Linked DNA regions of Caenorhabditis elegans. The protein of the gene in region 2 purifies or fractionates together with the protein of the main gene of each other region. This does not show direct contact. Each region holds a gene or a part of one and is shown on either strand. Other genes may lie near its edges. The genes, in order: sas-4 and sas-5.

What was found.
Region 1: the proteins of sas-5 (region 2) and sas-4 purify together in Caenorhabditis elegans (affinity purification with western blotting, with the first as the bait; one study listed by BioGRID). This does not show direct contact.

What each region holds. Positions count from the first base shown.
Region 1 is NC_003281.10:8,313,817-8,320,509, reverse strand, and holds sas-4 (Spindle assembly abnormal protein 4), read left to right. Parts: upstream 1-1,921; 5' UTR 1,922-1,928; coding exon 1,929-2,021; intron 2,022-2,069; coding exon 2,070-2,165; intron 2,166-2,245; coding exon 2,246-2,590; intron 2,591-2,706; coding exon 2,707-2,926; intron 2,927-2,968; coding exon 2,969-3,501; intron 3,502-3,677; coding exon 3,678-4,121; intron 4,122-4,391; coding exon 4,392-4,550; intron 4,551-4,596; coding exon 4,597-4,784; intron 4,785-4,832; coding exon 4,833-4,892; intron 4,893-5,645; coding exon 5,646-5,934; 3' UTR 5,935-6,161; downstream 6,162-6,693. Other genes in the region: F10E9.10 (uncharacterized protein), read left to right, coding at 230-310, 361-465, 510-617, 664-780, 825-881; F10E9.11 (rRNA-processing protein FYV7), read left to right, coding at 1,372-1,439, 1,497-1,764; F10E9.2 (uncharacterized protein), read right to left, coding at 6,224-6,439, 6,487-6,611, 6,656-6,693. UniProt on the Caenorhabditis elegans protein: Required for centrosome duplication. Plays a central role in determining centrosome size.
Region 2 is NC_003283.11:11,608,681-11,613,208, reverse strand, and holds sas-5 (Spindle assembly abnormal protein 5), read right to left. Parts: upstream 2,473-4,528; 5' UTR 2,431-2,472; coding exon 2,379-2,430; intron 2,336-2,378; coding exon 2,079-2,335; intron 2,027-2,078; coding exon 1,807-2,026; intron 1,755-1,806; coding exon 1,651-1,754; intron 1,605-1,650; coding exon 1,479-1,604; intron 1,436-1,478; coding exon 1,249-1,435; intron 1,003-1,248; coding exon 734-1,002; 3' UTR 613-733; downstream 1-612. Other genes in the region: piit-1 (BPTI/Kunitz inhibitor domain-containing protein), read left to right, coding at 3,141-3,161, 3,291-3,558, 3,608-3,724, 3,774-3,970.

The DNA.
Region 1 (6,693 bases), on a different chromosome or scaffold from region 2:
TACGACCAGTTTGAAAATTTCATTAAGACAATCCAGATACTCTTGAAATAGATATTCTGGGAATAGTTTCATTTGAAAATAAACGGTATCCTTTAAACGATCAAGGCCGTTACTTATAACTTATAAAATTATATTTTACAAATAGTTATCTGCAAGTATCTACCCATTGACATCCTTATTTAACTCATTTCTTCTTTTTTCTTCTTACAATAATAATAATGTGTTCAGGATGGTCACAGTGATACCAAAAATAATAAGTTCTCCATATCCTCGGACACGCCTACCACTGTACCTCTACACTGTTTCCATCGTAAGAATTACCAATCAATAGAAAATTCAAGTTTACACCTATAATTCTAGATTATTTCCTGCTCTTTATTATACTGGAATCTTCTTTACTGCAAAAATTATGACTGTGTCGTTGAGAAGGAATTTCGATGGGGAAGTACTCGGCACTTACTACAGGTATCATACAATTTGGTACCATAAAGAAATGACATAACTTTCAGTACTTTCCGGTGATAGCAGCTCCGATTATAATGGTAATATCGTTTTCTTGGTTAATAATTGCAATATATTATTCAAGTAGTTCATGTGTTCTTACATTCAATTTTATGGTAAGTTTTATAGGAAGGAGGAATAAAATAAATATTGAAATTAAAGGAAATGCCATCTGCAGTACTTTGTTCTCTACTTGGTGGTATTAGTTCTGTAATAGAAATTCATTTTTCCATTGAAGTAAATCAAGTTCAATGGACTGATCAGTGGTTACTGTCATCTGTGGGTTTACCAATCAACGATTGTTTAAAAATCGATATTTTCAGGGATCTTCAATACTTTTATGCCTTTTACATGCTACAATTGCGTTCACACTTCAATAATCCTTCCAACATATTTGAATTTCCAATCTTCTTCAAATCGATGTGAAAAAACTTGTATCATTGTTTTTATCAAATATGAAACATTTTATAGGAATCAAAAATATTATGTGAACTGTGATATTTACTCTTGCTCAATTCATTTCATGTAAATATTATTTTGATACTCATTACTGGCATAAATTATATTTTCGAAATTCATGTCACGAGCGCGGATGATGAGGGACAATTCGAATTAATTCTCTTTTTCTCAACAAAAACAATTAAATTTTGAACCTCCCTCCGTTTTCTTTGAAAATGGCCTAGAATTGTGATGGCCGTGGACTAGCATTTTCCCTAGCACGACGGCGGGAATTGTCTGCGTCATCTTCGTCTTGCACGCTCTCTCGTTACCCCCCGCTGTGGTTATTATACCGTTTACCACCTTAATCCCTTCAAAACGCTTTTATAATTTCACATAATCTCTTCTTAGAAATCTCAATCGTTTATTCAGATGGGAAATCGATCAAAGACAGACAATGCAACTGCCGTGGCATCGCAACCACCCAAAAAAGTTAAATCGTAAGTTTTCTTTCCTATTTTCAAAACTAATATATCTGAAATCATCAACATTTTTAGGAAAAAGCAAAAGAAAATGAGCTTTTCACAAGCACAAGACGTATATCTTCGTCTGAAGCAAGAAAAAGAAGAGGAGAAACAACGAGAGCGAGCCGAACGAGAAAAGCGAAATGAGACGATTGCAGCGACAAATAAATCAAGAAAGAAGATGAATCAGGCATTGGCAAAAAGAAATAAAAAAGGACAACCAAATCTGAATGCTCAAATGGATGTACTTCTCGAGAGGATACAGAAAAGAGTGGATAAGGAGAAAAAGGAGAAGAAATGAACTAATTGTTTTGTCTTTTATATTTTCAGATTTTTTTTGTTGAAATGAAATTGTTGTGTTTTTAAAAATCGATAGTTTTATCGTTTCTTCGTTTCTTACCGATAGTATACTTTATTTTCTGAAATATAATTCAATTATTTATTAAAAACCTTTTCAGCCTTCAGATGGCTTCCGATGAAAATATCGGTGCCGACGGTGAACAGAAGCCTTCTCGGCCGTTTTTGAGAAAAGGACAAGGAACAGCAAGATTTAGAATGGTAGTTTGTGCAAATACAAGGCTTATCGAAATAATATATGAAGTTCAGCCTAGAAACAACAAAACATCTGCTGGTGCACCTCCAACGTCGGAACTTTCATCTGCTTCAAGTCCTTCTATTAATGTTCCTAGGTTTAGTCTGTCGGTAAGTAAAATATCTTAAATACAAACGTTATAAAACTGTGGTGACTAGTTAAATATAAATATTAAGTAGAATTATTCCAGAATGCTCTCCCGAACTCTGCCCGAACCGTGGACAGTGGAATATCAAATGAAGACGAGACCCGTCCACCAACCACCGCATCTCTTCCAATGGATCAACCATCATTGTCATCTTCGCCGGAAAATCGTCTAAATCCCGCACCTTCCGTTGCTGAAGAGCATGGCCACAGTGGACAGCACGCTGAAGAAGAAGAAGACAATGACACGGATGAAGTATCTGCAATGCCTTCTTTTGTGCCTGATGAACCTTCGACTCTTGTTAATTCAGATCATGAATTGTCTGATGATGCTTTAAAGTATAAAAATGCAGCTGCCGAATTCAAAGCTTTTGAGAGAAGAATGGATTCGGTAAGAACAGCCAAATCAGAATGATAATTGAAATTTTACATAGAATAGATTTACGTATCAAAAATCAAAACCTACGAATACTCTCTAATTCAAAATTTAATTAATTAAAATTAAAGATGAGATCAGCTTCAACAATCACAACATCACTGGCAACGCCATCATCTTGTGCACCATCAAACTCCTCTGAGCCTCCTACTCGGTCTACACCAATTATGAACGATTTAGGCGTTGGCCCAAATAATCACAATTGGCCGTCTTCAATGCAAGAATTATCAGGAATTTCTCTGGAAACACCACAGGCTCGACCGCTTGGCAGCAATAGAATTAATCAGCTTGGTAGGTTAATAACAAAAAAAACATGATTGATTAGATTTTTAGTTCGAAGTGAGGCTCAAACGGGAATAAGCCTTTTACAACACCATGAAAGACCTACTGTGACCGCCCCATTGAGACGAAATGATATGATGAACTCATCACGACAGAATCCACAGAATGGAAATGTTCAAGATGAAAATCGACCCGAGCACGTTTATGATCAACCAATACATGTTCCTGGATCATCACTGGACCGACAGAAACTTGAAATTGAAATTCGACGTCATCGTAACTTGAACATACAACTGAGAGACACTATTGCTCACTTGGATTATGCAGAAGAATCCGTGCACACCACAAAACGACAGCTCGAAGAAAAAATTTCCGAAGTCAATAATTTTAAGAAAGAACTGATAGAAGAATTTAAGAAATGCAAAAAAGGAGTTGAGGAAGAATTTGAGAAGAAGTTTGAGAAAATTAAGGAAGATTATGATGAACTTTACGAGAAATTGAAGAGGGATCAACGAGATCTTGAACGAGATCAGAAGATATTGAAGAAAGGAACGGGAGAAAGGAATAAAGAATTCACAGAAACGGTAATTAAGAATTTAAGCAAGAAATAGTTATTCGAGAAAAACCACGAAATTTCGATTGAAAATTTTTCTCAAAGCAAAATCTAAAATTTTCATTGAAATAAATTGAGAATTTAAAAAGTTGAAATTCTATTATAAAACCTTTAATTTAAAATCCAGCAAAACTTGTCAAATTTCAGATAGCCACTCTCCGCGACAAATTAAGAGCATCAGAAACCAAGAATGCACAATATCGACAGGATATACGTGTTCGAGACGAAAAGCTCAAGAAAAAAGACGAGGAAATCGAGAAGCTTCAGAAAGACGGAAACCGGCTAAAGAGCACTCTACAGACTTTAGAAAAGCGCGTAAAACAATTACGTACTGAAAAAGAACGCGACGATAAAGAAAAGGAGATGTTCGCGAAGGTTGCAATGAATCGAAAAACTTCGAATCCAGTGCCACCAGTTTTGAATCAAAGTGTTCCAATTTCGATAACATCAAATGGTCCATCTAGACATCCATCATCATCTTCGTTGACAACATTTAGAAAACCATCTACATCAAATCGAGAAAGAGGTGTTAGTTGGGCAGATGAACCAAATGAACAATCATTGGAAGCTGTACCACAGGAGTTTTTGATGGTAATATTTAGATCAAAGCAGGGTTTTTTTAAAATTGTTTTTAGAATATTGCTCTGAAAAAATCAATTCAAAAAAAATTTCAAATTATTTTTTCTTCCCGACTAAAAAATTAATATTTTTGAAAAATAGTTTTTTAAGTCTAAAAATTTACAGCTTACTATTAGCATTTGCCGAAAGTTCCGATTTTTCAAAATTCCCAGAATTAAAAATCAATAGTTTTCGAGTTACCGAAAATTGTCAAAAAAAAATTTTAAATCATGCTTTTTGAAGATGCCAGTCAAAGAAATGCCGGGAAAATTTGGAAAATGCACGATCTACAGAGATTCTCTTGGAGAAACATCTAAAGTGACGGATACAATAGCTAACGGTCTTCTTTTCGAATATTCCAATGGAGATCTTCGATGGGTTAATCGGCAGAACGCTGTTAATGTAAGTTTTAATTGGAATTTTGTCAATTAAAGTGACCAATTTACAGATCTACATATCCGCAGTTGATAAAACAGTCAGAATTGATCTCCCCACATACAATATTTCAATTATTCATACATTTCAAAGGCAAGTTGAAGTACTTCGTCCTGGAAATAACATAACATTGATAAGTATTAAACGACGAGAAGTTCGAACTGATTTGATTTATCAAAACGGAATGTATAAAACTGAAATGTAAGATTATTTTCTTTTTTAAAGTTCATCGGAAATTTCGTATTTCAGCTTCAATAGGGACGGAAGATATGTTACGAAGGATTTTAGCAATCAAGAAGTTTCGAGAAAGTGAGTCTCTATTCATTTTCCAATTAATTATTCAGAAAAACCATTAAAATCTCAAAACTATTACCCAGATGTTTAATTTAATTTAATTTAATTTATTACGATAGAAGATATCGTTAGGTAGAAAAAAAAACACACACACATTAATAGATACAAACCATCACAAGTGGTTACATAAATAAATTACATAAATAAAACGAAACAAAAATAAAAAAAGAGATGTGACATTTTGCGGCAAAAAATGTCTCGGCACGATAAAATTTAGTTAAATGGGAAAAGGCGTGCGCCTTTAAATATTACTGTAGTTTAAAAATCGCGTTACTGTCGAATTGTTGTTTGCCCCTTTTTTTTTTGATAAAAACATGTTTATTAGTTTAGAAAAAAGATAAATAAACCAAACTACAACAGTCTTTATAGGCGCACGTATTTTCACATTTAAAAATCTGTCCTTTAACGAAAAAATTGTAAAATTTGGCGCCTTCAAAGAGTACTGTAATTTCAAACTCAATTTGAAACAGAATTTTCATCGATTTTCCTTAGTTAGTTTTTCGATGAATTTTAATTTATTCATTAAAAAAACTCAAATAAGTATAACGATATTTTAGCAAATAATATATTTTCAAACAAAACATGTTTCTATAATTTTTGTCTAACCCAAAATTTAGGAATATGACCTCAATTCTTCAAAAAGTTAGTAAAACAGGTTTAAAACCCCGTTATAAATATTTTTGCCTCTGAAACCTATCAAATTTTCAGATACAATCCCGGTACACACACATATCGCGACAATCAATGTCGCTACGTTCTCGTCACTGATTACAACGATTTTGAGCTCGTTGAGCCAGAATTCCGTCTTCGTTGGTATCAGGGAGATCCGACTGGTCTCAACAATCAGTATATTCTCAAGATCATTGGACGACCTGAATGCAGCGAGAAAACATTGAGACTTGAAGTGAATCTTTCCACGTGTGAAGGTACATTGGAAACTGCAGAGATGATAGGCGATAAACGTCGGAAAACAACTTTGTTCCAGTGGAAAAAATGAGAAATTCCAACCCCTTTATTTTAACTTGTGGTTTGTATATCTATTCCATTGACATTATTTTTCACTCCTGAGTGCTCTAAAATTATAATTAATTCTACCTCCTGTAAAATCATATCAAATAATTCAATCATTTTTTACTATCTCAATTTTCACTTGCCCCCTCCCCCATTTCTTTCATATTGATCTTCATGGTTATTTTATTGACTGTTATAAACAATTTTAACTTTAAATGTTCTGCACAAAATTCGGGATTCAGATTGCAAAGATTTATTGGAACACTGGAGACATTTCAAGATGATCTCGGATCTTCTGCACGACTCGACGGACTCAAACTTTGAACATTTTCGTGTGAGATTTTCTTTTCTTTTTCCGCACTTTTCTTCTCTTTCTTCTCCTCACCACTTCCATCTTTCTTCTGATCATCTACATCCAGGAGCAGCATCTTGTGACGTGTAATCTTTAGATCACTGAGACGAGTTTTCGAATCGCCGACTTCAAGAGGAGCCTACAATCATCCTTATCTTTTTATATTCAGAATATCAAAAAACTAACCGGGTCACCTCGACCAGAAAACTCGCCTTCGCCTTCTTCACTCGATGATTTCTGAGTTCTCAGAGTAATCATATGGGTCTTACCGCTGACACCAAGAAGCGTGTAGAGTCGAGCCATCAGATCGTCTGAACGATATAATTGTTTAAAAATCTTAGATTCTTAAGCTTACGATAAGTGGCATCCGTTGGAAGGCTGACAACGACTGGC
Region 2 (4,528 bases):
AAAAATCGCAGAGTTTATAAATGGGGAGAGTACAATGGAACAGTTGAAGTCCAAACATCTGGGTGCTCTCTCGAACTTTTTGAAAATGCCAAAAAACAAATTTGCAAAGATGAACAAGACACACCTAATCTTTTATATTTTCTAATTTTCCACCTACTCTCTATAAATAATCAATGTCAATATTTACTAGATTTTGACAAAAGAAATTCAAAAAATTCGGGTGCAAAAGTCAACAGGAAGAGAAATCAAAAATAGAGAAAGGTAGTGATAGTTCAAAACGCTTGCTTGCATATGGAAAATCAAGTGAAAGTGTATCTTTTCAATTGGAAAGTCTGAAGACAGCAAGTGTTTTAATACAGGAACACATGTGTACATGCCATAACAGTTTGTTTTAAAAGTTATGAACTTGTAGTTTAAAAATTCGTAGAACTTCTCCAATTAACACGTACACTACTAGAATTTTCATTTTTATTTCGTACACAAATGAAACTCTTGAAGGAGACCGATGGAAAGGTCAAGTTGGTACTTGTCAAACAATGACAGAAGTGTGAAGTGCTGAAAATCGAATTAAGTTCGAGACTATCTCGATCATATGATCAAATGAGAAAGAATCGATGAAATTCAAAATTTATTCAGGTCACAGCTGGAAGTAATGGTTTTAGTACAATTCACAGACATTACACGTAGTGATTAATGATAATTTTAAAACGTCAAGAGTTAAACACATTTGATATCATTTCCTGCGAGCGTATTTTTCACGAATACGGCGTTCTCGTTCAGCTGGAGTCTCAGGTACCGCTTGCTCGTGATAGTTCTGTCCCCGTTTATTGACTACAACATCCTCTTCATGATCTGATGAATCTTCCACGTAGTATCCAGTTCGATTGTTTCTAGCTGTCGTTTTTCCAGCTGCTTCTGACGGATAATAGCTAATACTTTGACCCTTTTGATAGAGTGAGTGACATGGTTGATCCGGTTCGTAGGTACGGTATGAGTCAGGAGCTAGAAAAGGTTTTTTTGAATAGTGAAGAGACTTCTCATTTTTGACTTTTAATTCAAATTTTTCAACTGATTTGAGGATTTCATCTTAAAATCATTTCGTAGTATAAAGTGTTTTCACTACGAATGGTTATCAACTTTCAAACATTTTTAATGAATTATTTGATACATTTTGGAATGCGTGAATTATTATATTTATACAATTCTAGCGGACGAATTCTGTGTTTGAATATTGAAAAATTAAATTACCACGATTATCACGTCTCTCATTTGTCCACTGTCTAGAATCAATAGAAGCGAGTCCGTTGTCATATCGAATACTTCGTTCTACCGTAAGTGTTTCTCTCATCAAAGCAGGATTCACACCAGATCCGTATCTAACTTCAGACATTGGTGGTGGTGGAGAATATGCAGCTCTGTTAGCATCACATTCAGCCTGAAAACAAACTATTTCTATCGGATTTAAATACACTACTCACGTCTGCTAGAACATTATCAATTTGTTGGCGAAACATTGGGTCCGAGCGAAGGCGTTGCTCAATAATTGTTAATGCTTCTGGAGGTATAACACCGTCTCTTTTGATAACTTCTCGTGCCGAAGCGATCTTAAAACGGAGTACTTTTTGATTTATTTTTTATCTGAATTCTCACTTTACTAGCTGGCTTCTGCTGTCTTGATTGACGAGGACTCTCATGAAAATTTTCTTTGTCTTTTTCAACTGGTTCGATCGCTTGCTGTTTAGGAATCGTTATCTCTGAAAAATTATTATTTATTGAATTTATGGGATAATATATATTCAAACATACTCTGAAAGAAGTTTGACATCAATTCTTGCATTTTAACAAGATTTTGAGCATTGAGCTCTTCTTGTCGCCGGGCCGTTTCTTCTTGAATCTCTGTTCGTATCGTTTGCAGTTCTGTTTTCATAGCGTCCCGCCAGTTTTCAGCTGCCTGTTCTTCAGTCGTTGTCGTATTTTGGGCAGACATTGTTGAAGCAAGCACTTTTTTTGAATTCCGAGATGTTCCCTGAAAGATAATTTAGTGGAATTATGCCATGGAACAATTTTAATTTAATTACCTCGACAGTTTGGGAAACGTTAACTGTTTTTCCAAACGCAACTGTTTTTTGGCGAAGCGCTGGATGCGAAGGTGGCTCTTTTCTTGGTTTCGGAGCCGAAAGACACGATTTTTTCTTGGCTACTTCTACAGCGGCGACAATTGGCTGCGTAGATGGTACTGGGGGTTTTGTCCTTTCTTGTGGAAGCTGAAGAACTTCTTGAAAGGCAGGGACTTCAGAATCTTCGAAGACTCTCGGTTGATCCACAAACTCCTGGACTAAATTGGCAATTTTAACACTTTTATATCGAAAACAACTCACCAGTTGGTTTTTTGAAGTAAATAGAGCAGGGTAAGTCGTCGTAATTATTCATTCCCGCTTAATGCGAGGTCATTTCTGTTAAAACTATGAAATTGGAAAATAAAACGTTTTTTCTTTAAAATTGGCGCGTTGGTGTCGCGGGGGCGTGGCCTCTGCTGCAACCCCCGCGCACATTTTTTGCAAGATGAGCGCGCACATTGTATATTTTCTCACATTTCTTTTCGCATGACCATTCGGGGACGAAAGAAGATTGTAATTAAATTAAATGATATTATTATAAAACAACAGAATTTTCTACTTTCTCATATTATCTGCAATTTAGAAGAATGTTCCTGATCAGTTGAACAAATTTAGATTGACAGATTTTCAAACAAAAAATCTTCTCAACCTACACAATTTTCCAATGTATTAAAAGTATTAAAAAACAAGTAAACACTCCCGACTGGTTTTCTAAAAATTCCGAGAAAATTTTTCCTCTGTACACAGATAGACAGCGAGACACAGAAAAAGTGTCTCAAAATAAATCAGCGTGGTAAAAAAGTCAGTGCGAAGGAGCCAACAGTATATGTACATTATACACACAATGTTTGCTCCGTGGGGTCAGATCAAAACTGGAATTTGGATTTGACTGTTGGTGGTGTTGCACGGTAGCAAGAGCTTACACGATTGCCAGTACAATAGTTTAAAGGGGCGGGAATCTCGATGGCCTATTTAAAAGAAATCCAGAACTCGAGTACAACATTTTCACGTGGCAAAACTAAAATGGCACTTAGATTGGCTGTGGTGAGTTTTAAAATCCTTTTAATTATGAGGTTTGAAACTTAGTTAAATTAAAAACTACTAAATCCAGAAATAGATCTACTTTAGATCTACATACGACTTTCAGTTAATTTAAATGTAATTATTATTTAGATTCTCTCCCTATTGTCTTTCACTGCGGCTCAATCGACTTCTGTTGACTGTTTTGCTGCACGGGACTCTGGAAATACTTGCGCTGAGAACAGTTCTTCTAGAATGTTCTATTATCTTCCAAGACTTGGAACGTGTCAACCATTCATGTATCAGGGATGTGGTGGTAATAGTAACCGGTTCAGTAGTGCACAAGAGTGTAGATCAGCTTGTACCAATGCTCAAGCTCAAAGAGACTCGGAGTCAAGTGATGAAACCGTTCAAATGAAGTGTAAGTGAGGTTAGCTAGTAACTATGGCAATTATTCTAAAAATTTTAAGCTGCTTGCTCTGCTACCTATGACACTGACCACTTGACACCAGTGAGATGCTCAGCAGGAGCTAATACTTGCCCACAGGGTCATAACTGTATTCAATCATTCTGTTGTCCAACATCCAGTAAGCATCAAATGTTTAAATGTTTTATTCTTAAATTTCAAATTCACAGACTATCTTTGCAACTTGACATATGACTCTGGAAAGTTTGCTGTCGGAGGAGAGAAAAGTGACAAATACTTCTGGGTTCCAAAATACACAACTTGCATGCGTTTCTCATTCTATGGAACTCTCGGAAATGCCAACAACTTCCCCAACTACAACTCATGTATGGCAACCTGTGGAAATCAAACAAGAACTTCCCAATAAGACGATATTTGAATTCCTGGAATTATCTGTATTATGAAAAACAAGTTATTTTTAAGAGTTGGCATTTTTGTAGTTTTTTTTCGGGTAATTTTCAAAGTATGATTTAACTGTATTATCATCCACTCATAAACAATTTTTATCTCATTTCTTTTAAATATTTTTTATATAATCTAAAAAATAATTTTGAATGTGATGCAAAAATAATAATTTATATACATTAAGGCAACGTTTTTCCTTTTGGGAACTACAAAACTTCAGTTATATTTATCCTGTAATTTGTCTCCATGTCAAGAGTATGGTTTTCAATCAAAGTACAACCAGGTTCGTTTATTATTCAGCCCTAGTTTAAAGTAAAATCTATCACTAAAAATAATACCCCATTTTCTCTAATAGTATTGCGACCCACACCTATAATATCAAACTCACATCTATAACCAGTAAAAAATTTTACAGAAAAATATCTATAGAAATACTTCCTTTTTTCTCTTTATCTGAACCTCGTTTGCAAACTCAACACGGAAGTAACTAGAACCAATTGCATCCATTTTGACATACTCT